Ovis aries: one gene and its partners. The protein of the gene in region 4 binds, or shares a complex with, the protein of the main gene of each other region. Links are inferred from orthologs where the notes say so. Each region holds a gene or a part of one and is shown on either strand. Other genes may lie near its edges.

What was found.
Region 1: the proteins of RPA1 (region 4) and PRIMPOL are in contact, whole or in part, in a crystal structure (PDB 5N85), measured with the Homo sapiens proteins. The link is inferred for Ovis aries from reciprocal best matches to the Homo sapiens genes RPA1 and PRIMPOL. Residues at the interface, in NP_002936.1 of Homo sapiens: Arg31, Pro32, Ile33, Thr34, Thr35, Arg41, Arg43, Leu53, Ser54, Ser55, Met57, Asn85, Leu87, Lys88, Arg91, Arg92, Val93, Tyr118, Asn119, Glu120; in NP_001332824.1 of Homo sapiens: Asp514, Asn515, Gly516, Ile517, Asp518, Asp519, Tyr521, Phe522, Leu523, Glu524, Ala525.
Region 2: the proteins of RPA1 (region 4) and ETAA1 are in contact, whole or in part, in a crystal structure (PDB 8JZV), measured with the Homo sapiens proteins. The link is inferred for Ovis aries from reciprocal best matches to the Homo sapiens genes RPA1 and ETAA1. Residues at the interface, in NP_002936.1 of Homo sapiens: Arg31, Ile33, Thr34, Pro39, Arg41, Arg43, Ser54, Ser55, Met57, Asn85, Leu87, Arg91, Arg92, Val93, Ile95; in NP_061875.2 of Homo sapiens: Thr599, Trp600, Glu601, Ala602, Asp606, Asp607, Leu609, Leu610, Tyr611, Ala613, Cys614, Asp615.
Region 3: the proteins of RPA1 (region 4) and RAD9A are in contact, whole or in part, in a crystal structure (PDB 8JZY), measured with the Homo sapiens proteins. The link is inferred for Ovis aries from reciprocal best matches to the Homo sapiens genes RPA1 and RAD9A. Residues at the interface, in NP_002936.1 of Homo sapiens: Asn29, Arg31, Ile33, Arg41, Arg43, Leu44, Leu45, Ser54, Ser55, Phe56, Met57, Asn85, Leu87, Lys88, Asp89, Arg91, Val93; in NP_004575.1 of Homo sapiens: Asp297, Phe298, Ala299, Asn300, Asp301, Asp302, Ile303, Asp304, Tyr306, Met307, Ile308, Met310.
Region 5: the proteins of RPA1 (region 4) and DNA2 are in contact, whole or in part, in a crystal structure (PDB 5EAY), measured with the Homo sapiens proteins. The link is inferred for Ovis aries from reciprocal best matches to the Homo sapiens genes RPA1 and DNA2. Residues at the interface, in NP_002936.1 of Homo sapiens: Asn29, Ile30, Arg31, Ile33, Arg41, Arg43, Leu44, Leu45, Ser54, Ser55, Met57, Asn85, Leu87, Lys88, Arg91, Val93, Ile95; in NP_001073918.2 of Homo sapiens: Glu6, Leu7, Glu8, Leu10, Met11, Lys13, Ser14, Phe15, Trp16.
Region 6: the proteins of RPA1 (region 4) and ATRIP are in contact, whole or in part, in a crystal structure (PDB 7XV4), measured with the Homo sapiens proteins. The link is inferred for Ovis aries from reciprocal best matches to the Homo sapiens genes RPA1 and ATRIP. Residues at the interface, in NP_002936.1 of Homo sapiens: Ile33, Thr34, Arg41, Arg43, Ser54, Met57, Thr86, Leu87, Lys88, Asp89, Arg91, Val93; in NP_569055.1 of Homo sapiens: Gly53, Asp54, Phe55, Thr56, Asp58, Asp59, Leu60, Glu62, Leu63, Asp64.
Region 7: the proteins of RPA1 (region 4) and HELB are in contact, whole or in part, in a crystal structure (PDB 7XV1), measured with the Homo sapiens proteins. The link is inferred for Ovis aries from reciprocal best matches to the Homo sapiens genes RPA1 and HELB. Residues at the interface, in NP_002936.1 of Homo sapiens: Asn29, Ile30, Arg31, Ile33, Arg41, Arg43, Leu44, Leu45, Ser54, Ser55, Met57, Ala59, Thr60, Gln61, Arg81, Ile83, Asn85, Leu87, Arg91, Val93, Ile95, Met97, Glu120; in NP_001357214.1 of Homo sapiens: Glu496, Glu499, Val500, Lys502, Ala503, Cys504, Asp506, Phe507, Glu508, Asp510, Asn512, Ala513, Glu516, Trp517, Thr519.

What each region holds. Positions count from the first base shown.
Region 1 is NC_056079.1:14,255,535-14,259,591, forward strand, and holds the start of PRIMPOL (DNA-directed primase/polymerase protein), read left to right. Parts: upstream 1-1,257; 5' UTR 1,258-1,435; intron 1,436-1,543; 5' UTR 1,544-1,690; intron 1,691-4,057. UniProt on the Homo sapiens protein: DNA primase and DNA polymerase required to tolerate replication-stalling lesions by bypassing them.
Region 2 is NC_056056.1:40,912,307-40,916,202, reverse strand, and holds part of ETAA1 (ewing's tumor-associated antigen 1), read left to right. Parts: intron 1-3,086; coding exon 3,087-3,199; intron 3,200-3,449; coding exon 3,450-3,896. UniProt on the Homo sapiens protein: Replication stress response protein that accumulates at DNA damage sites and promotes replication fork progression and integrity.
Region 3 is NC_056074.1:41,691,719-41,696,385, forward strand, and holds the start of RAD9A (cell cycle checkpoint control protein RAD9A), read left to right. Parts: upstream 1-1,742; 5' UTR 1,743-1,860; coding exon 1,861-1,894; intron 1,895-1,976; coding exon 1,977-2,047; exon of another isoform or gene 2,048-2,060; intron 2,061-2,527; coding exon 2,528-2,656; intron 2,657-3,103; coding exon 3,104-3,218; intron 3,219-3,305; coding exon 3,306-3,405; intron 3,406-4,667. UniProt on the Homo sapiens protein: Component of the 9-1-1 cell-cycle checkpoint response complex that plays a major role in DNA repair. The 9-1-1 complex is recruited to DNA lesion upon damage by the RAD17-replication factor C (RFC) clamp loader complex.
Region 4 is NC_056064.1:22,817,868-22,821,763, forward strand, and holds part of RPA1 (replication protein A 70 kDa DNA-binding subunit), read left to right. Parts: intron 1-1,096; coding exon 1,097-1,229; intron 1,230-3,093; coding exon 3,094-3,196; intron 3,197-3,896. UniProt on the Homo sapiens protein: As part of the heterotrimeric replication protein A complex (RPA/RP-A), binds and stabilizes single-stranded DNA intermediates that form during DNA replication or upon DNA stress.
Region 5 is NC_056078.1:24,047,751-24,051,646, reverse strand, and holds part of DNA2 (DNA replication ATP-dependent helicase/nuclease DNA2), read left to right. Parts: intron 1-233; coding exon 234-464; intron 465-3,896. UniProt on the Homo sapiens protein: Key enzyme involved in DNA replication and DNA repair in nucleus and mitochondrion.
Region 6 is NC_056072.1:51,443,705-51,448,136, reverse strand, and holds the start of ATRIP (ATR-interacting protein), read left to right. Parts: upstream 1-1,540; 5' UTR 1,541-1,639; coding exon 1,640-1,880; intron 1,881-4,156; coding exon 4,157-4,287; intron 4,288-4,432. UniProt on the Homo sapiens protein: Required for checkpoint signaling after DNA damage. Required for ATR expression, possibly by stabilizing the protein.
Region 7 is NC_056056.1:153,678,845-153,683,471, reverse strand, and holds the start of HELB (DNA helicase B), read left to right. Parts: upstream 1-1,684; 5' UTR 1,685-1,725; coding exon 1,726-1,912; intron 1,913-4,419; coding exon 4,420-4,627.

The DNA of each region.
Region 1 (4,057 bases), on a different chromosome or scaffold from region 4:
TTGCCTGGAGAATGCCCTAGATCGAGAAGCCTGGCGGGCTATACAGTCCATGGGGTCGCAAAGAGTTGGACACGATTGAGCGACTGACCACGCATACACTTGAAATCACCTCTTTGAAAAGCAGAGTCACACCATTTCAACCTGAAAAAAAAAATTCTAGACAAAGGCAGCAGAGGCCAAATCCTCGCCTGAAACGGGAGGATAAGCCCCGAGGGCCAAAGCCTCGGAAACAGCGCCAGCCAGGCTCCTGCCCTCAGGCCATCTACCCACCGCGCTCATCTTCCTCACTCTTCCTCACCACCTTTCCTATTCAAATTTCAGCCTGCGATTTCCTCTGCCTCCCTCTCCCGAGTCCCACCTCTACCACTCAGCCTCGGCGCTCCCGCCTGGCCTTCCCGCGCCTCTCCTCCCCCAGCTCAGCCACCAGGGTCAAGCCTCCTGCTACCAGGCTTCAGCGTTCCGACCGGGTCTCCCGACCCTCCCCCCTTCCCCCCATTCTCGGCCAGGCCACCTGTCCCCCGGGCTCGGCGTCTGCCGCCAGGTCTCCGCTCCCCAGCCTCCGGCTGTCTGGCCGGTCTCCCGCCACCCCCCGATCCAGCCTCTATCCTCGGCTCATTCTCGGTCCCCCGGGGCTCGGCTCCTGCAGCCGGATCACCGTCCCCCGGCCCGGCCTCCAGTCCCCCCCCCCCCCCCAAGCCCCGTGTCTCTGCATCTGCGGGCTTCAGCGCTCGTTCCCGCCCTCGCTGTCGTGGCAAAACAAAGGATCCGCCGCCGGATCGTGCCTGCATCCTGTCTCCTCCTCGGGGTAGCTGCAGGCCGTTGCAGGTCCCCAGGGCAGGCGCTGGGCTTGGGGGCAGGGGGTGGTGGTGGAGGGAACCAGTCCAGGACTGACGGCGCGACGGCATCACTCACCGTTCAGCCACAACGTTGCAGCTCTGCTGGATTCCACTCCTGGTCTGCTTCCGCCGCAGCCGCGCTCAGAGTTGATCCTCAGAGCAGGCCCCGCCCCTGGCCCCGCCCACCACCCGCCCCTCTGCTTTGAGGGCTCAGTTCAGCCCCGACACGTCCATCAGACCCCGACTCGCCCCTCCCCGCGCCCCGCCCGCCCTTGAACCCCGCCTCCTCAAGGCCCGGCCCCACCGGAACCCCGCCCCCTCACAGACCCCGCCCCGCACGACAACTCTGCCGTCTCACGGGTCGAGCGAGCTCCAGCGTCCCGGCGACGGTGCGTAAGCCGTTCCCGGCTGTTGCTTGGTTGTGGTCCCGGTTCTGCTCTAGGACGCCACCTCCTTAGAGGCCCGTGCGCTCCCCTACTTCCTGCTCCTGCCCAGTTCCCGCGCTCGGTTTGAAGATTCCGTCCCGCCCCGGAGGCAGAGCTCGTGTCCAGCCAGCCGCAGAGGAGCCACGGGTTCCGCCCCCCGCGAAAGTTTTGGAGGTAAACGGAGGCCGGACCCCTGGGTAGAGAGCAAGACGTTACCAGCGGGCCTTCCGGGAGGGCAAACCGTCTCTTCCCGCCCATTCTCACTGCCCCTTCCCCCACTAGCCCGCCAGGCTCTTCTGTCCACGGGATTCTCCAGGTGGGAATCCTGGAGCGGGTTGCCATGCTCTCCTCCAGGGGATCTTCCCGAGTCACGGATCGAACCCAGGTCTCCCTCATTGCAGGCGGATTCTTTTTCATCTGAGCCACCAGGTATTATTTACTTCGTTCTGTGTTATGGCTACCATTCCTTCAGTGCTTATCTGTGCTCTAACATTGTGGTAATGTCTTTTCAACAACCCCTGGAGGTAGGAATAACAGTTCGCACCTAGGCTTTAAAAGGTTAAAAAGGTTGGTTTGCTCTTGGTAAGGGTTATGCAACTCAGATCCTAGGAATAAAGCCTGTATGCCTCCCAGATTGAGAGAAGACCAGTGTTTGGCAGTCCCTTTGTTGCTGCATAAAACTGAAGACTAGGACCTACTCCCAACGTGAACAGTGGTTGGCATGCAGTTATTTGTAAGAGATAACTAGTGGGCTAGCTTCTTTTAACCAGTCCCATCACCCCATAAAGAGGCTCAGGTCGCTTCCTGTGCTAAACTTGCTTATCAAACGATGCTCCAGTTAAAGCAGTAGGAGGGGCTTTTGTGTAGATTGCACTAATTTACTTAGAGAAACTTTAGAGGAAAACAGCTGGCAGTGTCTTCTCAATTTTGAGATTTCTTTTTATAAAGGTGCCTCCCAGCTGTCCGAACTTGATCTGGGCCTCCAGGGGAAAGACTTTGGGGGAAGGTGGGCGGCACTCCAGCTGAGGGAAATGTGCAGGAGTGGGCCAGATCTTGCAGGCAGTGGTCATTATGGTTCATTTGGTGAGAAGGCTGAATAATAAGACATCAAATGGGCAGTGGTTTCCGGCCAGATTTTGAAGAGTTTGGACTTACTGAGGTAAACTTGAGTGTGCATTTAGTGATGCTCTGAATCATTAATGAGTGATTAATTGTGGAAAAGTTATGTAAATAGTCCTTAAAAATTTTTTTAATTGGAGTATAGTTGAGTTACAGTGATAATTTCAGGTGTACAGCAAGAGTGATTCAGTTATGCATATATCATTCTTTTTCAGATTTTTTTTTCTCATATAAGAATATTGAATAGAGTTCCCTGTGCTACTCAGAAGGTCCTTGTTGGTTGTCTGTCATCTGTATAGTGTATATGTGTTAATCCCAAGCTCCTGATTTATTCCTCCCACTCCCGCCACATTTCCCCTTTGAGATGGCTGGATGGCATCACCGACTCGATGGACATGAGTTTGAGTAAACTCCGGGAGTTGGTGATGGACAAGGAGGTCCGGTGTGCTACGATTCATGGGGTCCCAAAGAGTTGGGCACAACTGAGCGACTGAACTGAACCATAAGCTTGTTTGCAATATCTGTCTGTTTTGTAAATAAGTTCACTTGTATCATTTTAAAAAAATACTTAAGATTCCACATATGAGTGATCTGGTAGGATATTTGTCTTTCTGTGTCTGACTTCATTTAGTTTGATAATTTCTAGATTCATCCCTGATGCTGTAAATGGCATTATTTCACTCTTTTTTATGGCTGAATAATATTTCATTGTATATGTATACCACATGTCTTTATCCATTCCTCTGTTGATGGACATTCAGGTTACTTCCATGTCTTGGCTACTGAAAATGGTTTTAAGGGTGGTTAGTCTGGCAGAATTAGGCTGTTTGGTTGGGAAATCCTGTGAGCAGGGTAGAAGGGTGAAAGAATCAGAAAAATTCTGATTTTCTGAATCACTGAATGTTTTCTTCCTTACAGGAGACTTTTGGGAAATTTAAATTTGAGTTACTCTGTTCAAGCATAGACAAAATGATTGAAGGAAGGGGGAAAAAAAGAAAAAGTCAATTAGTATACTAAATTATGTAAAGAGTATATTTCATTTGGGAAATAAACTGAATTACTGTAAATGAAGTTTTAGTCACATTATTATGAATACTTTAGCAGTGGGAGAAATAGTATAAATATATTACAAGAGGCCCTAAAAGGAATGATATTAAGAAAACATTGCCAAATATTAGAACTTGAACATATATATCGGAAAACACAAAATACTTTTGAAACTATTCTCAGGACAGACGGAGAAGTTGTAGTGGGGAATAGAAATTGATTCTGAAGGAGATCAGCCCTGGGATTCCTTTGGAAGGAATGATGCTAAAGCTGAAACTCCAGTACTTTGGCCACCTCATTCGAAGAGTTGACTCATTGGAAAAGACTCTGATGCTGGGAGGGATTGGGGGCAGGAGGAGAAGGGGACAACAGAGGATGAGATAGCTGGATGGCATCACGGACTCGATGAACGTGAGTCTGAGTGAACTCCGGGAGCTGGTGATGGACAGGGAGGCCTGGAGTGCTGCAATTCATGGGGTCGCAAAGAGTCGGACACGACTGAGCAACTGAACTGAACTGAACTGTGATTAGACAAAAAAGAAACTAGGAGAACTGGGCTGGAGAGAACCTTGGGAGTCAGGCTTCAGCTCTTCTGGTGTGTGTGTGCTCAGTCAGGTCTGACTCTCTGCG
Region 2 (3,896 bases), on a different chromosome or scaffold from region 4:
AATAGAATTATTACTTGTCTAGCTCTCGTATTATTGTTATGATTGAATTAGGTAAAAATTGTTTGTAAACTATAGACTACTACAAATATTAGGTATATTAAAATTTAGTATGATAGTTAAATTATCTGCTGTAAAAGAACTGTGTTCAAAAGTTTCTTCTTTATTTCAGCTTTTGTGATGCTTGAGTAATAGGTCACTCTGCTCTGGACCTCTTTCTTTTTTTTCTTATATGGCAACATTTACATCCAGAAAACATCCAATTTCTGTTTAGTGTCCTCACAGGAAGTATGGTATTTTCCTTGATGTGGCCTCAGATAGTGACTGTATGTTGACCATAAACAATACATGACACTGGCCCAAACTGTGGTTACAAGGATCACCATCCAGGTGGAGGAGACAGGAAATAAAGTTTTTCTTAGTGGCTATAAAACATCCAAAATTACAACTAGGACAGTCGAAAGAACTATGTTGCTACTAGCTCTACTTTCCATCTTTGGCATGTCATAGAAATACATTTTACATAGAGTTCATTAGTTAAATAGCATTTATGCCTTATATTACCCACTCCAGTGTTCTTGCCTGGAGAATCCCAGGGGCGGGGGAGCCTGGTGGGCTTCCGTCTATGCGGTCACACAGAGTCGGACACGACTGAAGTGACTTAACAGCAACAGCATGCCTTATATTACTTGCTACATAAGTTAACAATAGATATTCATTAAATTGTTGATTTTACACGAAAGAAGCATAATAAAATGTGTCTGGACTGGCCAGCCTAAATAGTGATAAAAAAGGTAAGTAAATTATTGAACTCTTTACTTAAGTAGGCTGGAAATAATTGCTCACATAAAGAAACGGCAGCAGTATGCAAGTGATAACTTGTGTATAAGAATGCAGTTAAATTAGTTGCTTTTAAATGGTACCCCTTTCAAGTGAGCACTTTTAAAGCATATAAATCTTTGGTAATATCAAGGTCTGTTTAGGAACTTGTCATGTTCCAGAACAGCATAGGTGAGTTACCCTCCTCAAATAATTATTTAAATCACCTTCATAGTTCCAGAGATATATTTTAAAATTTAAACTTTTTTTTAATTGATGGGGCTTTCCTGGTGGCTCAGTGGTAAAGAATCCACCTGCCAATTCAGGAGACGTGGATTCAGTCCCTGGGTCAGGAAGATCCTGTGGAGTAGGAGATGGCAACCCACTCCAGTTTCCTTGCCTGGGAAATCCCATGGACAGAGGAGCCAGGTGGGCTACAGTCCATTTAGTCACAAAGAGCTGGACACGACTTAGGGACTAAACAACAAACAGCAGTAGTTCCTGAGATGACATTTTTTTAATTTGCATTTTTATTTTAATTGATCAGTCATTTTACTTTCTTCGGGATACTTTTCATGCAGTGTTGTTTGTTTGAAGATGGTATATATTTTTCTATCATTTTTATACAACTCTGCACAGTATACTTTAGAATTAAATGAACTAATGTGCTTAGATACATTCTACAGCACCTGGGTTGTACTATGTAATTATTAATGAGGAATTTTAAAAAATGTAACATTTACAAATAATATAAAAACTATATATAGGACCCATATATTTATATTACTGGATATATAAAGTTATTATACTTTTATTCTCTAAAAATGGAGTGAATTTAAAATTACTTGGTAAATGGACCAAAAAAATCCATAATTAAATCATTAAGAATGTTATCTTCCCAAATTCAAGATTGTTGAAACAAAAGGGAAGTTATGTATTGAGTCTAAAATCAAAATTATTGCTTTTCTTGAGTATTTGCAAAGCTGAAAACTGCTAGATTCAATTGGACATCTAAGGAAACTACTTTTTGATTGATTGATGATTTTGAAGTACCAAGTGGTAGGCAACTTATCACCTAACTTTCTAGTGTATAAACTTGAACTGACATCTTTATGCTCAGCATTTTGCTAGATACTGAGCTATCACAGAAACTGTCCTTGCCTTCAAGTAATCTGTAATCTAGTAATTAGATTATTTTGTGTGACAGTTACTTGTTTATTCATTCCAGGTACTATAAACATAGAGTAGAAAATGATTAACTTGTTTATTTTGTTGGTTTGGTTTGTAACTAATAATAAATTCATTCTCTAATTTTGTGCATGATCAAGTGACTAAAAGGTATAAAAGAAACATGTATGACTAAGATGGCTTTTTTCTAGCCTTAATACTGGTTAAAACTTCTTTACCCACTTTCTCTACTTAATTTTGTTCTTCTCCCTACCTCATTCACAGCATCAGTTCTAATCTTGCCATTATCTCTAACCTGTCCTGACTTAATGCTAAATTTTCTTAGTTCTATCTAAATGTTGTCAGTTCACGTCAACATGGATTGTCCAACTTAGATGAATGTTATAATGGCAATAGGGAAAATTTGGAGATTCAGGTAATACAGAAAGAACTCCCTATTTATCTTTTTATTCCTAATTCTGATAATTCCTACTGCACAGTTTATTTCTAGTACTAATGTTTATTTTTATCAATGTCTTACGACAAATAAGTTGATCAGTTTTCTTTTGATAAAAATATGTACTTTTATTATTGAATATGTATTTCTATTCTGCAGTGGCTTCCACAGTGGCTCAGATGGTAAAGAATCTGCCCGCAATCAATGCAGGAGACCTGGGTTCGATCTCTGGGTCAGGAAGTTCCCCTGGAGAAGGGAATGGCTATCCACTCCAGTGTTTTTGCCTGGAAAATTCCATTGACAGAGGAGTCTGGCAGGCTATAGTCCATGGGGTCGCAAAGAGTCAGACATGACTGAGCAACTAACATGCATTTCTAATTAAATTCTTAAAAACTTAAAAGTTTTTTTAAAATATGGAATTCCCAATTCTGAGTGTTTTCATTCCCTAAAGCAAGTAGATCACTTCTTACAACTTGTTATTACTATCCTCCAGGTTTTCATTGTTTTTGAAGTTTGTTTAATTGCTGTCACTTTACCAGAATTTGCTCCTTTAAGAAAATAATTCTACATAATTAAAGTGGGTTTTTGTTTGGTTAGTTGTTTTTGTACTTTCACATCTCTTTTTTTTTTCGTCCTTCTGCCAAAGGATGAGAAACCAACAACAGACTCCATGCTGGGCGTGTGGATTGGTGACACTGCTATTCCTTGCACTCCAAGTGTAGCAAAAGGAAAATCAAGAGCAAAACTCAGCTGCACAAAGTAAGTTTAAACTTTTCAGTTTTTCTTATATTCAATGAAGTAAATATTTTTAGTATTTTGGTTGGGTTTTGTGTGTATGTCAAAATGGTTATAAATTATTATCCTTAACTTTGACATGTAATGTTTTGAACTTATTTATGTCTGGATGTGTTAAAATTTGTGAGTTTTAACATTAAAATATGTTAAATAACAGTTGAGTATTTATGACATTTAGAATATCTACATAATTTTTGAAATATTTGTTTAATAGGTTAAAATCACAAAATCAAGAGGAAGAACTTATGAAATTAGCTAAGCAATTTGATAAAAATATGGAAGAGCTGGATGTGATTCAAGAGCAAGACAAGAGAAATCATGATCTTATCCAGATGATTTCAGAAGCAGAGACTTCACATAATTACAGAGATAATATACAGATGCAGTTACCATGTGATATAGTTCCTGAAATAGATAAGGCTATAATAAAGAAGCCAGTGAAAGAAAACACCAAGATACCTGTGGTAAATGATCAAACCAGCAGTCAGAAGCCATTTGACCAAAATGCTGAAGCAGCCTTTATTGCCATGTTTGATGGTTCTACTCAGAAATGTAGTGGACAGTTAAGCCAAGATTTGTCAGATGCTTTCTTGAAAACCAGTAATACTACCTTTGGAAAGAAAAACACTTTGAAAGAGGAGAAAATCATTACTAATGAATC
Region 3 (4,667 bases), on a different chromosome or scaffold from region 4:
GTAAGGGGTTTAGTTTTTGGTGGCTTATTTATTTTGGCCATGGTTCGTTCCCTAACCAGGGGTTGAACTTGCACCCTAGGCAGTGAAAGCTCAGACTCCTTACCAGTGGATCCTCAGGGAATTCCCAAGGGGTTTAGATCTGCTGCCAAGTGCAGTAGTTGGAAACCACTGCAGGATCTAAACCGGGGAAAGGTGTGACATGATTGACATCTTAAGAAGGTCACTTTGGTGCTGTATGGAGAGTGCAGTGGAGGGGCAGGGGACCACTCAGAGTGCTCCCATCAACACTCAAGTGAGAGATGATGGTGGCCTGAGCCAGAATGATGGCTGTGGGCATGGGAGAGGAGGACCAAGTTGCCATCTGTTTAGGAGGCAGAGCGCTCAGGCTTGCTGAAGGATTGCAGTATGTAAGAGGTGGGTCAGGATGGAGTCAAGGATGAGTCCCAGTTTACTGACCTAAATGCCTGCGTAGAAGTGGTACCATTTACACTGACCCCCTTAAAAGGCAAGAATAATCTCCCCCAGTAATCCAGGGAAACCTGATAAGGGAGGAAACCTGACGTAAGGAGAGGAAGTGGAGTCCAGAATTGCAGACCAGGAGCAGGAGGGTAACGGTCCCACAAACGTGGCTTCCTCACTGGCAACACTGCCAGAGGAGCAAGGCCCTAAAGGAACGCAGGGGTGCCCAAGGGTCCCTCAAAGCACACCAGGTGCTGCAAGAAACCAGAGGCCAGGAGCCCCTCCGTGACTTGCCCTCCTCTTCGCACACCTGCGGACCGAGGCTGCGGACGAGGGAAGACCTGCCAGGCTGACTGCTGTGTCCCACCGGCGCCAGTCGTGTCGCACCCTTTGTGACCCCATGGACTGTAGCCCGCCAGACTCCTCGGTCCATGGGATTTTCTGGGCAAGAACACTGGGGTGCGTTGCCATTTCCTCTTCCAGGGGATCTTCCCGACCCAGGGATTAACTAAGCCCCTCTTTTGGCACCCTCTCTTGGTCATTTTCCAACGGCCAGAGACGCAGGAGTCTATCCTCATAAAATGTTTCCAGTGCTTTCCATCAGTGACCTTCATCATTCAGCAGCCCTCCTCTCACAAACCCACTTCCCTCCCAACGGAGGGAAGAGCCCCCACGTGCTGCTGAGTCTTGACTCTCGCCTTCTCCTGCTGGCCAAATCTTTCTACCCCTTTTCGTCCGGGGAAGCTTCTGTTCTTTGGGATCAAAGAAGGATCGTAGAAGCCACGGCGAGCAGCCACTTCCCACCCCGGGATCCTGTAGCAAGGTGCGTTACTATCTTTTCGGAGCTGGCAGTTGCTGCTTCTGTCCGCGTCCCCGGCCCGCCCGGACGGGGTGAGACGGTCTTGCATCGACCCCGTACGCACCCCGCCGGCGCCCGACAAACGTCCAGGAAATCCGTACTAAATTAGTGACCCGGGCCGGGCCCGCCCGCACATCTCCGGATTCCGAGCTCACTGTTCGCTCCCCGACACCCTCTGGGCGTCTCGCGTTCGGGTGAGGGGCCGCGGTGGGGCCGGCTGCCCGCCGTGCTTCACAGGGGCGCTCGAGGGCCGAGAGTGGGCCTAGACCGCACGGAGGAACCCGGCGCTCCCGGGTCACGTGACAGGGCCCGCCCAGGGCGCAGCCTCCGTCACGTGACGGCGCAGCCGGCGAGCGTCTTTCTCACGTGACGGAGCTGCCGGCTTGCGGCCCAATCAGAGGGCGGGGGCGGGGCTGCCGGGGGCGGTGCGCGGGAAGGGAACCCCAACCGCCCGGAGCCGCGGGAGAGACCCGGAGCGGATCGTTGAGCTGGGGTCCGGCCCAAAGCCCCCCGCCCGCCCCATCCCGGTCACTGCGGGCAGCATGAAGTGTCTTGTCACGGGCAGCAACGTGAAGGGTGAGTCGGGGCCGGCCGGGGGCTGGAACCACGTGGGATGGCCCGAGGCGCCCGCAAACCGCTGTCTCTCTCCTCCCCGCAGTGCTCGGCAAGGCCGTCCACTCCCTGTCCCGCATCGGGGACGAACTCTACCTGGAGCCCCTGGAAGACGGGGTGAGGAGACCGGGTATGGGGGAATGGCGTGAAAGTCCCAACAGGGAGCCCTGATCGGGGCTCGAGTCTCGCCCCCATCAGGCAGGGTGCCCGGTGGGCACGTTTGCTGAGTTTAACAGGGGCCTCCCCTGTTGCTGGGGTGTCCCTTTGGGCCCTGTCATCTTCCTAGGCCGGTGTCTGAATCGAGAGCCCTTGCCCTCCCTCAAATGCCCAGTGGTGGATGGGGGTGATTAGGTAAAAGGCGTGGGTGCTGAAGGCTGGGTCGCGCCCTTGCTGTGGAAACGGCGGGGCTGACGCCCACTCGGGACTCGGGGAAGGCTTCATGGAGGACACCCCTAATGACTGAAAGGAAAGGGCGGGCTTCTGCAGGTGATGGTGGAACAGAAGCCTTTGGGGCAAGTGCCTGGGCAAAGCTGGCTTGAGGGCTGGGCCCAGCACTGCTGGTGACCACATCTTTCTCCCCACTTTTCCTGGCCCCAGCTCTCCCTCCGGACCGTGAACTCCTCCCGCTCGGCCTACGCCTGCTTCCTCTTTGCCCCCCTCTTCTTCCAGCAGTACCAGGCTGCCACCCCTGGGCAGGACCAGCTGCGCTGTAAGATCCTGATGAAGGTGAGGTGGGTCCCTCAGCAGTGGCAGGGCACTCCCCCCAGGAACCCCTCTTGGCAGTGCAGTTTGCTCTGGAGCACAGAGCAGGTGCCTGCAGGAGGAGAGATGTATACTGGAGCAGTCCGGTGCAGAACGCAGAGCCTGGCCAAGTAGAGACATCCATGGGGGTAACGGGCCATATGGAGAGGGTAGCTGAATCTGCCAGGAACCTGCAGGGAGTAAATGACTCTCAGGTTGGTCCTTGAAAGATACGCAGGTCTTTTGAAGGCATTCCAGACCAGGATAAGAGCACAAATGAAGGCCTGGAAGGGTGCAGATATCTGCATGTGTGAGGGGTCCTTTCCTGGTGTGACAGTGTTGAGCCCATGATGGGCCAGAGCCCAAGGCGACTGGACATGAGAGCCAGTTGGCGGAGGCGCAGTGCTGAGCGGATGTGTTTCCCTCGCCTAGTCCTTCCTGTCTGTCTTCCGCTCGCTGGCAATGCTGGAAAAGACTGTGGAGAAATGCTGCATTTCCCTGAATGACAGGAGCAGCCGCCTGGTAGTTCAGCTGCACTGCAAATATGGTGAGTGAGCAGCTGGCTGATCCAGGGGTCCTTGCGGTGTGGGATTAGAGGTTGGTGAGCCCGCTGAGACCCTGTCTGCCCATCCAGGGGTGAGGAAGACTCACAACCTGTCCTTCCAGGACTGCGAGTCCCTGCAGGCCATCTTCGACCCAGCCTTGTGTCCCCATGTGCTCCGTGCCCCAGCCAGGTGAGCACGCCCCTGGTTGCACGCTGAGCCCTAGGCTTTTCTCTTCCTTCTTTCAGCCTCAGGAGTCAGTTTAAGGAGGCACCTCCTCCGTTTTTCCTGCAGGGTATCTGTGAACCTCAAAGCGTTCATCCAACCCAGTTTGCTTTCAGGGCCTTGCCTGGCCCTTTAAGGGCAGAGGCTGGAGTGAGGAGGGGCCAGATGCTCCCTTATCCCATGTTCCTCTCTGTCTCCTGAGTCTGTATTCTCCACCTCAAAGTCTGACTTGGCTTTCTGACCACTCAGCCCCACTCTGACTCCTCTTTCAAAGAACAGGTCTCCGGCTTGCCCTCACATCTCCTCTGGCCTTTGAAGGTCCGTTAATTTTTGTGGCTCCGGGACTTGTGACCTTTCTCTGACCTGGTCATCCTTCTGGGATGAGTCCCATTCAAGGGCAGCCTCTCTTCCTACCTGGCTGGGTTCTATCCCTGAGGGGTTCTCAGGCCACGGCTGGACAGGGAGGTCACGGTCCTGGAGGGCTGCCTGAATAATCAGCTATAGGAGAGGAGCCATTCTGGGCAGTCACAGGGGCCGTACAAGACCTGGGAGATGGGGAGCCCAGCAGACGCCAAGGTCCCTAGAGAAGACCAGAGGCTTGGGTCCCCTCCCACCTGCCCACGTGCAGGGTGCACCTTGCACTCAAGTAACCCAAGGTCTCACGTTTCTTTGCTTTTGGTAGCCGCAGGACCTGGTAACCTGAAGGTCCCTTTGAGCCCTGACTTTGTTTTTCTGAGTTTTGTTGAAATAGCACTACCTAGGATCCCTTTGGGTAGAGAAAGAATCAATCCATGGTCTGGGTTTTGAGAATTTTTCTTTTTTTTAAAACGAGTGATTGTTTCTCTTTATCTTATGGACAATTTCAAATTCATATAAAAGCAGATGATAACCAGCTTTGTCCCAGTTGTCTTGAGGCAAATTCCAGGTATTATTTCACCTGAAACTATTTACTAGCCTGTCTCTACTAGACAGGGACCTGAGGACTCTTTGTAAGGCGGTGTTCATGCGGACAATGTGGGTCTGGTCTCCCAATCCTGGATGGGCAGGTGCCACCTGCCTGGTTCGGTTCAGCACAAACCGCCTGAACTTCCTGCTGCCTTCTGTGGGCCTGTTCTTGTCTGCCTCCATCTCTTGCAAGAGGACTGCTCTCCTACAACATCCTGGGAACCTTGGGTGAGGCAGAGACTGTGTCCTGCTGCCCCCGTGCTCCACCCTGGGGCCATGCTAGG
Region 4 (3,896 bases):
TGTATATTGCGTACGAGATCGATATTCTACACATACACATAAGATATTCTACAGACAGTGTGTGCTTCCTTGAGTTACCTTGAGGTGACTGTTAGTGCTGTGTGTGTAAGCCGTCTCTTGACTCCCGAGTTAGAAAATTTTAAGATCTGGGACAGTTTATGTCTATTTTTTGCCAAGTGCTGTAAGTACCCAGAATAGTGTGGTGCTTGCTGTGGAAACTCAGTAAATAAATTCTGAATAATGGAAGATACGCATTTCTACCCGGATGCCATGTTGAAGAAATATTTTGGTATAGAAGATATTAAATCATTGGACTAAATTATTGCTTCTGAACTTGGAGGTTGAATCGTAATAGAAACAGCGTGCATGTAAAGGCCTTCTTCTGCTTATAGGTGTTACATAATGACACATTCTTCCCAAGTGCAAGGCAGCTGTGTAGGCTTGGATGAAAAGGAGGCAAGAAGGGGCCACGATAGCCAGTCCCCCCGACCCCTGTTCATCTTAAACAGAAGACTGATTCGTTGCCCTTTGCTCCCAATTAAACCCAGTCCCATAAACTTCATTCTAGATGATCTGTTCCTGTAAGACCAGTTGAGAGCTGGGAGTTTTCTGGGGGTGTTTTGAGGAGATTTGTTTGTAATAGGTACTCTTCACTTCGGATGGTTCCCCCACTGTGTCCCTTAATTCCCAGCCTTTCCTTCTTGCTTTCTCTTATGCAACCAGTGGCTTGTCTTCACTTCTCAGTCAAGGTTATTTTCTTTCTCCAACCTATTATCTTGCCTACTGATACAAGGGAAAAGTTTAAAGATTCATCTCTGAAATAGCAGAGTCTGGATTCATTACCTAATTATCTCAACCTCAGGATGTAGGTCAGCAGATTCAGTCCTGAACATCTGTACACCCAGCCTTCATTTTAGACCTCACTCTAGTCTCCCGTTTCAGTCTCTGTTTGATTTCCAGATCTCTTGATTATTTAAAAGGAAAACCTTGGCTTCTCATTTTATATGATGTCACTAGTAAATTAAGAGTTCTTACAAAACTTACCATAAAATTTAAATAAAATAATGATTGTCCTTCTTTGTATTTGATTTTAAAGCTTCCACTGCATCTAAGGCTTTTGGTGCCTCAAAGACATTTGGAAAAGCTGGCGGTACCAGCCAAGTGAACAGCTCTGGGGGAACACAGGCCAAAGTGGTACCCATTGCCAGCCTCACCCCATACCAATCCAAGTGAGTTATTTCATAGAATACGTTTAGAAGGAACTGAGGAGTATAAGAGGTTGTTATGGGCTCTTGAGTTACTCATATGTGAACTTCAGGGTTACCATGCATAAAATAGGTTTCCTCCGTGTTTTTTTTTTTCCAGAAGGGTTACAAATTGTGGCAACCTTTAACTATTTCATAATAAAATAATGGCAGAAAGAGCAATCAGCCATAGCCTATGGAACTTCATTCATTTTAAAAGAACTTGAAAATTAAAAGATTTAATGTTTTAAGGGGGGCTTCCTGGTGGCTCAGCTGTGAAGACTCCGAGTGCCAGTGCAGGAGACGACAGGCGTGTGTACAATCCCTGGGTCGGGAAGATCCCCTGGAGAAGGAAATGGCAACCCACTCCAGTATCCTTGCCTGGGAAATCTCAAGGACAGAGGAGCCTGGCGAGCTACAGTCCATGGGGTTGCAAAGAGTCAAATACGATTTAGTGGCTAAACAGCAACAACAGAGTTTTAAGAACCAGTTGATAGTCTGATGAGTAAAAATAAATCTTTGTTCTAATTCAGAAGGCATTTCATCTTCTCATCAAATAAATAGATGACTTTCAGTCCAAAAATTATTACTGCAATTTGGTTGGCTTAAAAGAATATGTGTGTACTGGAGCCTATTATACAGAGTGAAGTAGGCCGGAAAGAAAAACACCAATACAGTATACTAACACATAGCTATGGAATTTAGAAAGATGGTAACGATAACCCTATATGCGAGACAGAAAAAGAGACACAGATGTATAGAACAGTCTTTTGGACTCTGGGAGAAGGCGAGGGTGGGATGATCTGAGAGAATAGCATTGAAACATGTATGTTACCATATGTGAAACAGATCGCCAGTCCAGGTTTGATGCATGAGACAGGGTGCTCAGGGCTGGTGCACTGGGATGACCCAGAGGGATGGGATGGGGAGGGAGGTAGGAGGGAGTTCAGGATGGGGAACACAAGTAAACCCATGGCTGATTCATGTCAATGTATAGCAAAAACCACTACAATATTGTAAAGTAATTAGCCTCCAACTAAAGTAAATAAATTTTTTTAAAAAAGAATGTATTTGTGTCAACTGTATTCATATACACTGAACAGATACTTCTTTTATATGATTCCTTTCATTAAACATTTTAGCAGTTGAAAATTTGTGCTCTTCTCAAAGTTCTTTCAGATATTATTTACGTATTTATTCTTCAGTTGTTGGCAATGTGAGGAAGGGCTGTTCCCCTGTGAAATGATGAGTAGGGTAGCTAATGTGTCCAGTAGCTACACGTGGGATGGGCACCAGGATTGGATATCAGACCTTGCGCCCCCCCCCCCCTTTTTAATGGCTTCTGTCTAAAATCATAGTGCTTGAGAGTGTTTTCTTTTGGTGGCTTAACCAATGCCATGTTCCATACCCTTGTGTTTACATTCCATGTGCGCTGGAAGTGAGACAGAAGTTTGACATCAGTTATATCAGTTCCTATAATTGAAAATAGCGGCAAAATATAATTGCTGGTATTACTGCATTTTCTAGCTTAGAACCTTTCATTAAGGGGATAGTGTTGCCTTGGTGATGCCTTTTGGAGAAGAGAAAGCGTTTATAAATTTACTTATTTGACAGGAGAATGAGTCAGTGTTAAATCACCTTGTGTGTTTTACTATTTGCTTATTCTATAAACTGTCAAACCTGGATGTCATCCTGGGGTTTTAATTAGCTGGATTAAAATACAGCTTCCCCTGGAAAATAGAATATGCATAAGGTAAGAAAGCCTCTAAGAAGATAATAGGGAGGGAACGTTTCAGATCTTTCCCAAGTAAGACTCCCGACACTGAGATGATCCGTTTTTTATTTTTAGGTGGACTATCTGTGCTCGTGTCACCAACAAAAGTCAGATCCGCACCTGGAGCAACTCTCGAGGGGAAGGAAAGCTTTTCTCCATAGAGCTGGTTGACGAGAGTGTGAGTATCTGTCAGGTGGGGAAAGAAGAGTCCTCAGCTCTGGGAAACAGAGGGCTTACCTCTGTGCAGGCCCGTGAGGTGAGAGATAACAGTAGGCCAAGAAGAAACATGCTTCTTGCTGCTGTCTTTCTTCCCTGGTAACCTTCTGATGCCGTCTGTGGGCACGGGGTTCAGTCATAAGTAAAATCCTTGGTCTCAGGCGGAAGCATTTATAGCAGTTGACATTAGTTTTCTAGATGTGAGTAGTCTCACAGGCAGGAGAAATCAGAGACATTGTCTGACTTGCCAGGAGGCTTAGTCAAAGCCCCAAGAGGTGATGTCTCCTTGGGAGCCGCATGGAGCCCTGGGCCACAACAGAAGGCACGTGGCAGCCTTGACAAGTGATAAGTGGTTGGTTTTGCGAGAGATGCATTCTGGCAGCGCAGACTTCTGCGCTTTATGTAAACGAAACCAAACCACAATGGAGAGATGAAAAATCCAAGTAGTGGCATCTCAACAAGCGTCTTGTCATGCTATATCTCCGACCATTCTTTTTACTTAAAATCCCTAGTATATACTTCAGGCATTCTTTTCAAATGGCTGTATATTTCCTATTTGTTCAAATCTCTAAGGGGGCAGAAAAAAATAGTTGGTTTGTTTTTTTATTTGTTTCTTTTTTTTTTTTTTTGAAGATGGGATAACACCGCCAATGTATTGACTG
Region 5 (3,896 bases), on a different chromosome or scaffold from region 4:
TTATTATTTTTTAAATAAATTTTTATTTATTTATTTGGCAGCACATGAGACCTTCTGTCTTCATTGTGGCATGAGGAATCTTTCATTGCGGCATATAGGATCTAGTGCCCTGACCAGGGATTGAACCCAGGTCCCCTGCCTTGGGAGCTTGAAGTCTTTGCCATTGCACCACCAGGGAAGTCCCCCGAGAGAGTATTTTAAAATTAATTTCTCTTTTTCTTTCTCTTTCATAGGGAGGAGAGTGGCAGCTGCATTGGGAGCCTGATTAGAACAGAACATGTAAAGACAGTTTGTGATGGACAGTATTTACATAATTTCCAGCGTAAAAGTGGAGCCATACCTATCACAAATCTAATGGCAGGTGACAGAATTATTTTAAGTGGAGAAGAGAGAACATTGTTTGCCTTGTCTAGGGGATACGTGAAGGAGATTAACTCAACAACAGTAACCTGTTCGTTAGACAGGTGATGAAATGTTCCCTTTTCGGGGGGGAGGGTAAAGCTTTATCGATAAGTAAACATATACCATACAGTTCATACATTTAAAGTATACAATTCAGTGGTGGTTAGTATATTCACCAACCTATGCAGTCAGCACCAAAATCCATTTTAGAGCATTTTCATTGCCCCTGAAAGACTCCCTGTACCCTGTAATCACTCCCCCAGCCCTAGGCAACCACCAGTTCCCTTTCTATATTTATAGATTTGCCTTTTCTGATTCATACACTTGTGTGGCCTTTTGTGACTGGCTTTTTTTACTTAACATACTGTTTCTGAGGTTCATCTTCATGTAGTAGATTGTACCAGTGCTTCATGCCTTTAAAAAAAATTTTAGATAAAATTCACATATCATAAAATTAACCATTAACCATTTTAAACATACAGTTCAGTGTGTGCATGTTAAGTCACTTCAGTCGTGTCCAACTCTGTAGCCCTATGGATGTAGCATGCCAGGCCCCTCTAACCATGATGATTCTCCAAGCAAGAATACTGGAGTGAGTTGCCATGGCCTCCTCCAGGGGATCTTCCTAACCCAGGGATTGAACCTGAGTCTCTTATGTCTCCTACATTGGCAGGCAGGTTCTTTACCACTAGTGCCACCTGGGGAGCCTATATGTTAATTGGCATTTAGCAGTTATCCAACTGCTAAAGTTTTGTTTAGTACATTATGTTCCATAGTAGTAATGTGGACATGTGTGTGTGGGTGTGTGCTCAGTTGCTAAGTTGTGTCCGACTCTTTGTGACCCCAGGGACTGTAGCCCACTAGGCTCCTGTCCATGGGATTTTCCATGTAAGAATTCTGAAGGAGGTTGCCATTTCCTTCTCCAGGGTAGCTTCTCAGCCCAGGGACTGAACTCACATCTCCTGCATTGGCAGGTGGATTCTTTACCACTGAGCCACCTGGGAAGCACAATACGGATGGAATCTTACCTAAATAATTCTCACAACCACGTGTGCAGCAGGCAGGACAGATGTCCTGTGTTGGCTGTAACGCTTATTTCTCCTCCTTAGCCCTCTGGGAGCTCACCATTTTGTTCAAATTGCTTTTTTCCATTTATTAGTTTATCAGTTCAGTCACTCAGTCGTGTCTGACTCTGCAACCCCATGAATTGCAGCACGCCAGGCCTCCTTGTCCATCACCAACTCCCGGAGTTCACTCAAACTCACGTCCATTGAGTCTGTGATGCCATCCAGCCATCTCATCCTCTGTCATCCCCTTCTCCTGCCCCTAATCCCTCCCAGCATCAGAGTTTTTTCCAATGAGTCACTCTTTGCATGAGGTGGCCAAAGTACTAGAGTTTCAGCTTTAGCATCATTCCTTCCAAAGAACACCCAGGACTGATCTCCTTTAGAATGGACTGGTTGGATTTTCTTATAGTCCAAGGGACTCTCAAGAGTCTTATCCAACACCACAGTTCAAAAGCATCAATTCTTCAGCGCTCAACTTTCTTCACAGTCCAACTCTCACATCCATACATGACCACTGGAAAAACCATAGCCTTGACTAGATGGACCTTTGTTGGCAAAGTAATGTCTCTGCTTTTTAATATGCTATCTAGGTTGGTCATAACTTTCCTTCCAAGGAGTAAGCATCTTTAATTTCATGGCTGCAATCACCATTTTCCATTTATAGTTGTGATATAAAGTGTAAATTAAAACAAAGTAAATTAATTTAAAGAAAAATATTAAGTAAATAGTAGAATAGTTGGTATGAAAATTTGTGGTAGAAGCTAATATCCATGTTCGTTAATATCCGTATTCCCCTCTTCCTGGACCCCCAGCCTTCCTTGCATTTAAGTGCAGGCATGAGTCACATTTCTCAGTGGGTGGAGATCAGTAATTGGGATCCAGAGGGTAACTGCAGTGGAAATTTCCAGGCTTGCTTTCCAGTAATCAGTAATCCTGGTTAAGCAGTAACTAGCCCTAGCCCAGGTTTCATGATATTGGTGTATAAGCCGTGATATTTCTGCTGTTTCTTAGGAGTCCCTTCAGTCCGTCCTGTGAAGTATTTATTTAGTACCTAACGTGTTAGATATTTTGCAAGTTCTTGAAGAATTTGTAGTCTTGTGGGTAACAAATAAATATATCTTTCAGTCTAATATGACAAGTGTTTGAATTAATGGGAAACAGAGGAGAGGCATTTAACCCAGTTTTAGGAGGCTCGGGGAAGGCGAGTGAAAAGGGTTGTTCTAGATCTTCATCCTGTGGTGGAATGTTAGCTCTGTGAAGCAGCGTGGGAGGCGTATACCAGACAGAGGGCACGGGGTGTGGAAAGGCCTGATGGTGTGAGGTGGGGTGTTCTGGAAAGTGTAGGTAGTAACTGCTTTCTGCAATGTAAAAGATAAAGGAGTTATTGGAGAGGTCCCGTCATAGAAGGGTTTATGTACCATGTTAAGTGAACAAAAGAATGATAATCAGATTTGCAGTTTTTCTGTGAATGCACTGTGGAGAATAGAGTTAATCAGTGGAGGCAAAACTGAAAGCAGAGGAACCAGGCTTAGTGGCCTGCTAAGTGGCCTGCTATAGGAACCTGCTATAGTGGCCCAGGCTTGAGGTGATTGGGAGCAAGGTAGTTTTGACGGAGAAGGTGGAATGCCTTTGAGAAGTATTTGGAAAGTAAAATTGTCTGACACTGAGATCCTGATTGGATCTGCAGGGTGGGAGAGGGAAGGATCAAGACAGTCATGTTAAAAAAAAAAAAAGACAGTCATGTAGATGCAAGAGCCATTACCTGAGGTCAGGTCCCCAGGAGGAGGAGAAGGCTTCAGCAGGGATAAAAAGCTGTCCCGTTTTGCAAACTTTCACTGCCTGAGTTTTAACTTAGTGGAAAGATCTTGCTGCTTGCTGGACATTCAAAGCTGAAGCTTGCGTGAGAAATGGGGTAAGAGAGGAATGTTAGGTCAGGCCTGGTGATGTAGATTTGGGATTCAGACTCAGGTGGAGCCATGGTACCAGTAGGGAAATGACAAGAAAGAACAGTACAGAGGAGCATGGAAGGGACCTTGGAAGGGACCTTGGGAACATCGCAGGTCAGCCTGATAGCGGAGCGGGAGAAGCCTTTGGGAAAGAGACATGTATTGCAGGCCTGAGGAGGCAGGGGCCATGTGCTCAGGATCCTGCTGGGGGTGGTGAGCCCAGGTTGGAGTTCAAGGAAGGCCAAGTGAGTTGTCAGCAGATGTTGTAGGTTTCGGATTATTAACTGCCCTTTTTTTTTTTTTTTTTTAATTTATTTGGCTGCTCCAGGTCTTAGATGCAGCATGCGAGAGTTTTAGTTGTGGCATATGAAGTCTTAGTTGTGGCATGTAGGATCTAGTTCTCTGACCAGGGAGTGAACCTGAGCCCCCTACAGTGGGAGCTCAGAGTCCCAGCCACCGCCTTTTGCCTTGCCCTATTCTG
Region 6 (4,432 bases), on a different chromosome or scaffold from region 4:
GGAAAAGATTTTCATAGATTGAAGCTTGTATTACCACTCAGATGTACTTGATACTAGTGAAAGATAAACATCCCGCTTTGGTTGTCTCCCGGAAAGTTACACAGCCAGTAGCATCCTCTTTGGACTTCAGGGATTCCCTACGGGACTTGCCAGCTGGCACCCTTCCCTGTGCTGCTGAGAATAACCCTTCAGAGAGCCAGAGCTAGCATACTGCCCCTGAGATGAAGCTACTGCTGTTTTATTTGATGGAACCCAGTCTGCACTTACGAAGTATAATCTTGTGTTTTTACGAGACCAGAAACTTGGAGCAATTAAGATAAGCATCCAATATTTGTGTGACTATCTGAGGGAACCTACCAGTTACCTCAAAAAATTAAAGCCAGGTACTGAAGACCCTCTAGGGCCTAACAACTATCTCCCTTTCATTCACTGCCCTCCCAAATATTCATAGGATACTCATAGGCTAAGTTAGAATTCCACGGGCAGAAGAGCCTAATGAGCTACAGTCCATGGGACTGCAAAGAGACACAATTGAGCGACACATGAATGAAAAGTCTTGCCCATTACTTTCCAACACCTTGTTCCTGCTAAATGTCCTGCACACCACCGTGCCGTGCTTAGTCACCCAGTTGTGTCTGGCATTTTGTAACCCATGGACTGCAGCCTGTCAGCTACTCAAGCCCAGCTTGAATCCCTGCTCCTCTCTAAAACCTTACCTTCCTAATTTGCCATTGATAACGCCTACCTGGCACTTGTGTGGCCTCCATTTCAGTGTTGTATTCTTGTCTGAGTAATCTTGATGCCATCCTCTTTAATACCTCTTGATAACTCCACTTAACCTGTAGGACAGCACAGTTGCTACTTCCATAGGACCTTCCTTGACTTCTTGAGTCTCATTCATTTCCATATTACCAGCACTTGGAACAAAGACACTTAAGAGCTCCCAGAGAAATGAATAAATATTAACAGCCTAAGGACTTCCTACACCCTTCAACACAAACACACCCTTCTCAGACTTTCACCAAATGTACACATTCAAAACATTTACTGTACTCGAAGATGAGTGCTCATAACAGCTCTATTCCTAACTCCTAGCCCAACCCCATTCTTCCACACTCCTCCTCAAAAGAGCCTGGGGTATTTGAGAAGTGGGTCTGGCTGGACAGCGAGGTCACAAAAACCAAAAGTCTGAATGCCATAGATTCACATTGCACGGCTGAATATCTATCTGGGCGACCTCCAGCAAGCGCTGCTCTGTACCCCAGGGCATGTCAGGGAGCGGAGACACAGCTACTTGCGTGGTGGAGCTGGTGAATTTGCCTAGGTAACTCAGTTCGCTGCGCTTACACCACCGCAGTGGCCTACCGAATCCTAACAATCGGTACCAGAGCGCCAGGCGAGGTTGGGCCCAACAAGGGCGGGAAGCAACAGGGTTCAGCGGGCACTCAATGGAGCATCGCGGCGCGCTCTGATGATGTCATTCCTCCGCGCCCGCCAACTGGCAGGTGATTGGCTCGTTGGTTCGGGGGCGTGTCCCGGCGGCTGAGGCGAGCCACGGCGCGCGGGCGGTTGGTCCATCCCTCCTTCCACGCGGGTATAGGCCGGGCTCAGTGTCTTTAGAGATCAGCCGGAGGCAGGCATGGCTGGAATCTCCGCTTCAGGCAGCAGGAGGCGAAGTGGGCCCCCGGCACCTAGTCCTGGCCCTCCGCCCAGCACCGGGCACCCTCCGAGCAAGCGGGCCCGAGGCATCCCCGCCGCCCCGGACCCCGAAGACCCATTCGGCCTGCATGGGGATTTCACCGCCGACGACCTGGAGGAACTCGACACGCTTGCGTCCCAGGCCCTGAGCCAGTGCCCGACCACGGCTCGGGACGTGTCCAGTGAGTTCGCCTTTTCCCCTTGAGAGTGGTGCAGACTTCCCTAGCCCCCCCCCCCCCCCAGATGGCTGTGCCTTCGCAACCCCGCAGTGACCGTTCCGGTGTCTTGCACCCACACTGCCCCTTCCTAGGAACAGTTTGATTTAAGCAGCTGTGTGTCCCAAGAGGTCTTTTGATTTGAGGGGAGAAATGTATCAGGAATGTCAAACAGCCGATTTGGAATGTAGGAAGCTAGGTTAACATTTTACTTGGGTTTCTATACTTTGGACCACTGGGTTCTTAGTTCTCAGCAGAGATCTTTGCAACACATCTATCACAGCCATAAGAAGCATCTTTACCTACACATGGGGACCCATGGTTATGACATATTTGGGAGGCTTTGGATCGAATGAAGACCACCTTTTCCTTTGGACCGCCTGAGCACAAGAGGGATCTGGCAGAGGCAAGAGATAGGATAGACTTATTCTTTTTATACAACCAATTAATTGTACTACGTCCCCAAACCTTAGAAGCTACAGACACTTAGCAACAAACAAAAGCCCCCACCTTCTTGGAGCTTACACTCATTCTAGTGACGTCTTATGGGGTTCCCTGGAAGAGAAAGGTTTTGAGGGTACCTTGAATCTCTACTTGGATGTCTTGTAGGCAAGTTAAATTCCACACAGTCATTTCCTGGAAATCCAGTCATCTGCCAGCATCTCCAGCATGATGCCTGGCAAAGCAGACATTCAGAAAAGACATGTTGATGAACACATGTTCTGCATGGTGAAGACTGGCACCAGTTTCCATCCCATACCACAAGCCAACATCCCCATTGCCCCTTTCCAAATCCTGTACCTTTACCTTTTTCTTCCATCCCAAGAATCCATCCTCTGCATCATCTCTGCCATCTCCCTGATCTGTGTTACCATCACCCCTCCCCTGGACAAAAGTCCACTAAATTGTGTACATATTTCAGGTTATGACTCCTACAAGTCAGACTTCACACCACAGCCAGAGTGATCATTTTAAAACTAAAATCTCTGTGACACAGAGATGCACAGTGAACATCCCTACTGAAAGCCTTGAATGACTTCACACTTCCGGTATAAAGATTAAAATCATTAACATGGCCCGGAAGACCCAGCGTGGCCTGACCCTTTCCCTCTTGGGTTTCTAGCCACACTGACCTTCCTTCATTCCTTGAATTCTCCCTGCTTCCCTACAATACAGAAACTGCACACGCTGTGTCTTTTTTTTTTTTTTTTTGCTGCACTGCATGTGGGATTTAGTTCCCAAGGATCAAACCCACCCTCCCTGCAGTGCAAGTGTGAAGTTTTAACCACTGGACCACCAGGGAAGTCCCTATTGCTGTTTCTTACACGTTGAGTGTTCTTTCCATCCATTCCCCATCGCCACTGCTCTGGTTAATTCCTGCTTGTTCTTCAGCTCTCCATTCAGTTATCACTTATCTAGGGAAGGCTTCTGGAGAAGGCAGTGGCACCCCACTCCAGTATTCTTTTGCTTGGAAAACCCCATGGACAGAGGAGCCTGGTGGGCTGCAGTCCATGGGCTTGCTAAGAGTCGGACACGACTGAGCGACTTCACTTTCACTTTTCACTTTCATGCATTGGAGAAGGAAATGGCAACCCACTCCAGTGTTCTTGCCTGGAGAATTCCAGGGACAGGGGAGCCTGGTGGGCTACCATCTATGGGGTCGCACAGAGTCGAACATGACTGAAGCGACTTAGCAGCCGGGAAGGCTTCCAGTCGTCCTTGTGGATGAAATCCCCTGTTACAGGCATTGCTCTGTTTGTTCTTCTCTGCAGCTATTATAACAGTCGTAATTTTACGTTTATTCTTATATTTTTGATTGCCATGTAAGCTCCATGAGTGTAAGGACTGTATCCATTTCTCTCATCACTGTAGCTTTCTTTAGAGGCTAAATTGTGCCTGACATATTGTAGATGCTAAGTAAATACTGTTGAATAATGGATCACTGAGCTTCGAACAGTGAGGTTCCCACAGCACCTTTCAGCCCTTAGCTGAGACCCTTAAAACTGGATGCAGGGAAAAAAACAAGAAACTGAGTGTGGAATGGGGAGAGGGTGGCAGAATTTGTTATTTCATAAGGATTGAATCATGTTCTTATGTTGGAAAATACCTATTCTCCTTACTAGATCTTTCTCTCATTTGCTTTCAAAAGTGATTGTTTTCAGCACTGGCTGTTAAAAGTGGGAAAATACTGAGCCTTAACAAGTATATGGGAACTGATTTTTCTTGATTGTTGTTTTTTACAGATGTTCATAAGTTCACCAGATTAGATGGGATGTCAAAATATCCTGCAGGAAAAAACAGAGAAAGTGTTCCAGTTAAAGATAATTTTGAATTAGAGGTACTTCAGGCACAATACAAAGAACTTAAAGAAAAGGTAAGGGATTTAACTTGTCATTTTTGTAGTTAATGCATTCACTTATGCATGTGTTAGAAAGCAGTATACAATAAAATATAGAAAAGTTTTAAGACAAGAGTCCAGATTCATCCCCGTGAATTGGGAGAAAGCTGGGGAAAGAAAG
Region 7 (4,627 bases), on a different chromosome or scaffold from region 4:
AGCTGTGTTAGTTTCATGTGTATGGTCCTATAAATTAAAAACTTTGGTGGGGGCAGTGATTTATCTATATTAGAATCTATACAATAAGATGCTTTTGGATTTAGCAAATAATGTATGCTTACTTTAGGTTTACTATTGAGTAATTTCATAATAGTATCAAAATAGTAATGTAATCGTATATTTTATGCTGTTCCTCAAAAAGTACCATGATTTTCAAACTTATGGGAACCATGGCTCCAGAATAACTTTTAAATCACCTCTTTCTCTTCTACTTGCCTTCCCCTATTCTTGTTTATACCCTGGGCTATAACTTCTTTTGCTCCACTGTGAGGCTTCCCCGGTAGCTCAGCGGTAAAGAATCTGCCTGCAATGCAGGTTCGATTCCTGGGTCAGGAAGATCCCCTGGAGGCGGGCATGGCAGTCCACTCCAGTATTCTTGCCTGGAGTACAGTCCTTAGGGTCGCACAGAGTCGACACCACTGAAGCGACTTAGCACGCACTAGCAGATGGCAGCTCAGCCTAAAGTTTGGGAGGCCAGGGTATACTCACAGAGGAAATGAGGAGCATTGTGAAAGTTATTGAATCCACTGCTTTCCAAATCTGGCTGAGCATCAAAACGAACAACTTGAGACGTGCGTTAAGTCCCAGCCCTAGATCCCGATACAATGGGTATGGAATGAGGCCTAGAGATCTGTACCTTGAATAAAGTGCCTTTGATCTTACAAATTCAACTTCTGAATAAAAAACAAGAGGCCCAAAGTAGTCACGCCTAGGCGGGTCTCCTGGCTGGAGATTCACGGCTTTGAGCTTTGGGTGTTGGCGGAAGGGCATTTGGATTTTTGTTTTCCAGTCGTTGGGAAGGGCTTGCTTTTCCTAGCTCTTAAGGCTTCCTTGGTGGCTCAGAGGTTAAAGCGTCTGCCCCCAATGCGGGAGACCTGGGTTTGATCCTCTGGAGAAGGAAATGGCAACCCAATCCAGTATTCTTGCCTGGAGAATCCCCTGGACGGAGGAGCCTGGTAGGCTACAGTCCACGGGGAGGCAAAGAGTCGGACACGACTGAGCGACTTCACCTTCACCTTAGGTTCAGTAGATTGACCTTCCCTCGAGTTTCTCTCTAGGCAGGAGACGCGGTGAGTTAGCGGCTCTGCAGGTGCTATTTATGCCGCGGCCTAAACAGCTAGTTTCCTCCCAGCACCAGGCGGAGCAGGGAGTTTGACTGTGCAGCGGGGTGGGAGAGTGCCCCGCCCCCTGCCCCGCCCCTGCCCCGCCCCTGCCCCTGCCCCGCCCCTGCCCCTGCCCCGCCCCTGCCCCTGCCCCGCCCCTGCCCCTGCCCCGCCCCTGCCCCTGCCCCGCCCCTGCCCCTGCCCCGCCCCCTCAGAATTTCGGCGTTCCATCCTATCCCGTTCCCTCCGCTGGGAACTTGAGGCGGAGCTTCGCGCAAACTAGCTTCCGGGGGAGGAGGTACATTTGTGAAAGCGCATGGCCTTTATCTTTTAAAACAAGTTTCAGGCGTACAGCATTATAGCTCAGTGTCTGTGTATACTAAAGCATGATCATCACCACAAGTTTAGTTGCCATCCATCTCCATACGGTTAACTCAAGTCACACATTTAGCCCACCCCCGGGAAGCCGAAGGTCCTACAGTCGCGGAGCTGATTGGCTGACCATGGGCGTCTCGCAGGCCGGGGTTTTCCGGAATTGGGGTCGAGCTCGGGACAATGGACTATGGCCTCGTCGAGTCAGCCCTTGCTGGAGCTGCAGGGACCACTGCTCCCACCCAAGGACATGGTGGAAGAGGAAGACGAATATTTAAGGGAGGACGCGGAGGAGGACGAAGACACGGTGTTTCTAGACGCAGAGGAGCTTTGCAGTGGGGGCGTAAATGCTGGTAGCCTCCCTGGGCTGCTCCGTGGTGAGGAAATAACTCGCTCCTCGGGGGTGGGATCGGCGGATTAATGAATTGTTTCTATTATGGCCTCCTCCAAAGTACTGCACTCCATCGCTGCTAACAGAATTCCTTTGGAATCGCCTAAGTGCTTCGTCCTGTTTAGAATAAAATAACAATAATAGCAGAGACTTGAGCAAATACTTTATGTTAAGCTTGGGCTTCACGTGAATCTCATTAATGTTCACAACTTTTTGAGGTAGTTTTATAAACAAGGAAACAGTGGGTGTCCAGCCAGTATTAACACCCCGAATCAGGGCTTTTAACTATTTCTTTCCTGGAGTCGAATATGTGGTTGCTGTTCAGCTGCTTAAACACACATACACGTGAAACACCACAAGCACTGTTGACTCATTAACCTGTTGTGATCTGTATTTATCTTGTCTAGTTTCCTGTCCTAAGAATTACACCTATTGTGTGTTCCTGGTGACTGATGTTTAAGAATGTTTGAATGTTCAGACCAGTTGCTGTCCAGTAGAATTTTCTGTGATGGGATTGCTGTAAATTCGAACTGTCCTATACAATAGCTGCTAGCCATGAGTGGTTATTGAAAACTTCAAATGCAGCTAGTGTACCAGAGGAGCTGAATCTAAAGTTTTAATTTTAATTAAATAGTCACAGGTGAGTAGGCAGCACAAGTTTAGACAGAAAATGTTTAAGTTTTTGTGGAGGGTTTAGTTATTCATCCTGCAAGTGTTATCGACTGGCTAAGGTGTTCCAAGCGAGATAAGTTTGTTGTTGGGGTACCCTGGAGAGATTAGATGATGAGGTTGCTGTCTTAATGGAGCTTCCCCTCTAAGTGCATTAAATAGGTATTTTACAAATAATCGCAGCTGTGTATGCTAAGTTGCTTCAGTCATGTCCGACTCTTTGCAACCCTATGGATTATAGCCCACCAGACACCTCTGTCCATGGGATTCTCCAATCAAGAATACTGGAGTGGGTTGCCACACCATCCTCCAGGGGATCTTCCCCATGATCCAGGGATTGAACCGTTGTCTCTTGTGTCTCTTGCATTGGCAGGCAGGTTCTTTACCACTAGCACCACCTGGGAAGTAACTATAATATCAGTGCTTAATAGAAATTGTATGAAGTGCCATGAGGTTATATTTATGAGATTCAGGGAAGGTTTTCTGAGGGAGTGACAGTTAATCTGAGTTCTGTAGTAAATGTGGTAAACAGTAAGGAAGAAAATATTTAAGGCAGATGCAACAGCTTTTGCAAAGACTAGTAGGAGGGACCTTGACTTTTTTTTTTTTTTTTTGATTGGAGGATAATTGCTGTACAGAATTTTGTGGTTTTCTGTCATACATCTACAAGAATCAGCCATAGGTACACCCATATCTCTTCCCTCCCAAACCTCCCTCTCGTCTCCCTCTGGATCCCACGCTTCCAGGTTGTCACAGAGTCCTGTTTGAGCCACACAGCAAATTCCCACTAGCTATCTATTTTACATATGGTATTGTAAGTTTCCATGTTACTCTCTCCATACATCTCATACTCTTCCTCCTCCCCTGCCCACATGTCCATAGGTCTGTTCTCTATGTCTGGTTCTCCATTGCTGCCCTGAAAATAAATTCATGAGTACCATCTTTTTAGATTCCACATATATGCATCAGTATATGATATTTATTTTTCTCTTTCTGACTTCACTCTGGAAAATAGGCTCTAACTTCATCCATCTCATTAGAACTGACTCAAATGCGTTCCTTTTTATGGCTGAGTAGTATTCCATTATATATATGTAATGTACCACAGCTTCGTTATCCATTCATCTGTCGATGGACATCTAGGTTGCTTTCATGTTCTAGCTATTGTAAACAGTGCTGCAGTGAACACTGGGGTACATGTGTCTTTTTGACCCTGACATTTTTTTTAGATACTCCTTGGAGGTCAGTATTGGCTGAGATCAGAGTAGCAGAGAGGCAACCTCTTTTAGGAGAGGAACAACAGACTTGCCAGGTACCAGGCCTCCCTCCTGGAATACAATGACAAATAAGACATTATCTTATTCTAGAAAGCTTACAGTGTAGTAGCTGCTGCTGCTAAGTCGCTTCAGTTGTGTCCAACTCTGTGGGACCCCACAGACGGCAGCCCACCAGGCTCCTCCATCCCTGGGATTCTCCAGGCAAGAACACTGGAGTGGGTTGCCATTTCCTTCTCCAATGCATGCATGCATGCTAAGTAGCTTCAGTCGTGTCCAACTCTGTGTGACCCCATGGACAGCAGCCCACCAGGCTACTCTGTCCACAGGATTCTCTAGGCAAGAATGCTGCAGTGGGTTGCCATGTCCTTTTCCAACAGTGTAGTAGAGGAAGACAGATAAACAGGTAAGTGGAATATAGACACTGCAATAGACACCTGTACAGGGAACCGTCCCGGGATTAAAGAGAGTAGTGGAGTTGACAAAACATTGGGAAAGATTTTAAATTATCCTAAATTAACATTTCCTTTTTTTTTTTTTTTTTTTAAAGTTTCTGTGTTTGATGAAAACACTCAGGAGAAATGTGACGTGTTTGGACGTTTTCCATTAACTGATGCTTGGTGGCGAGTGAAGGTACAGGTAAAGCCAGTAGGATCAAGGAACTATCGGGTTCAAGGATTTCCATCTTACTTTTTACAGTCAGATATGTCACCACCAAATCAAATCCACATCTGTTCCCTCTTTCTTAAAGAGTGTAA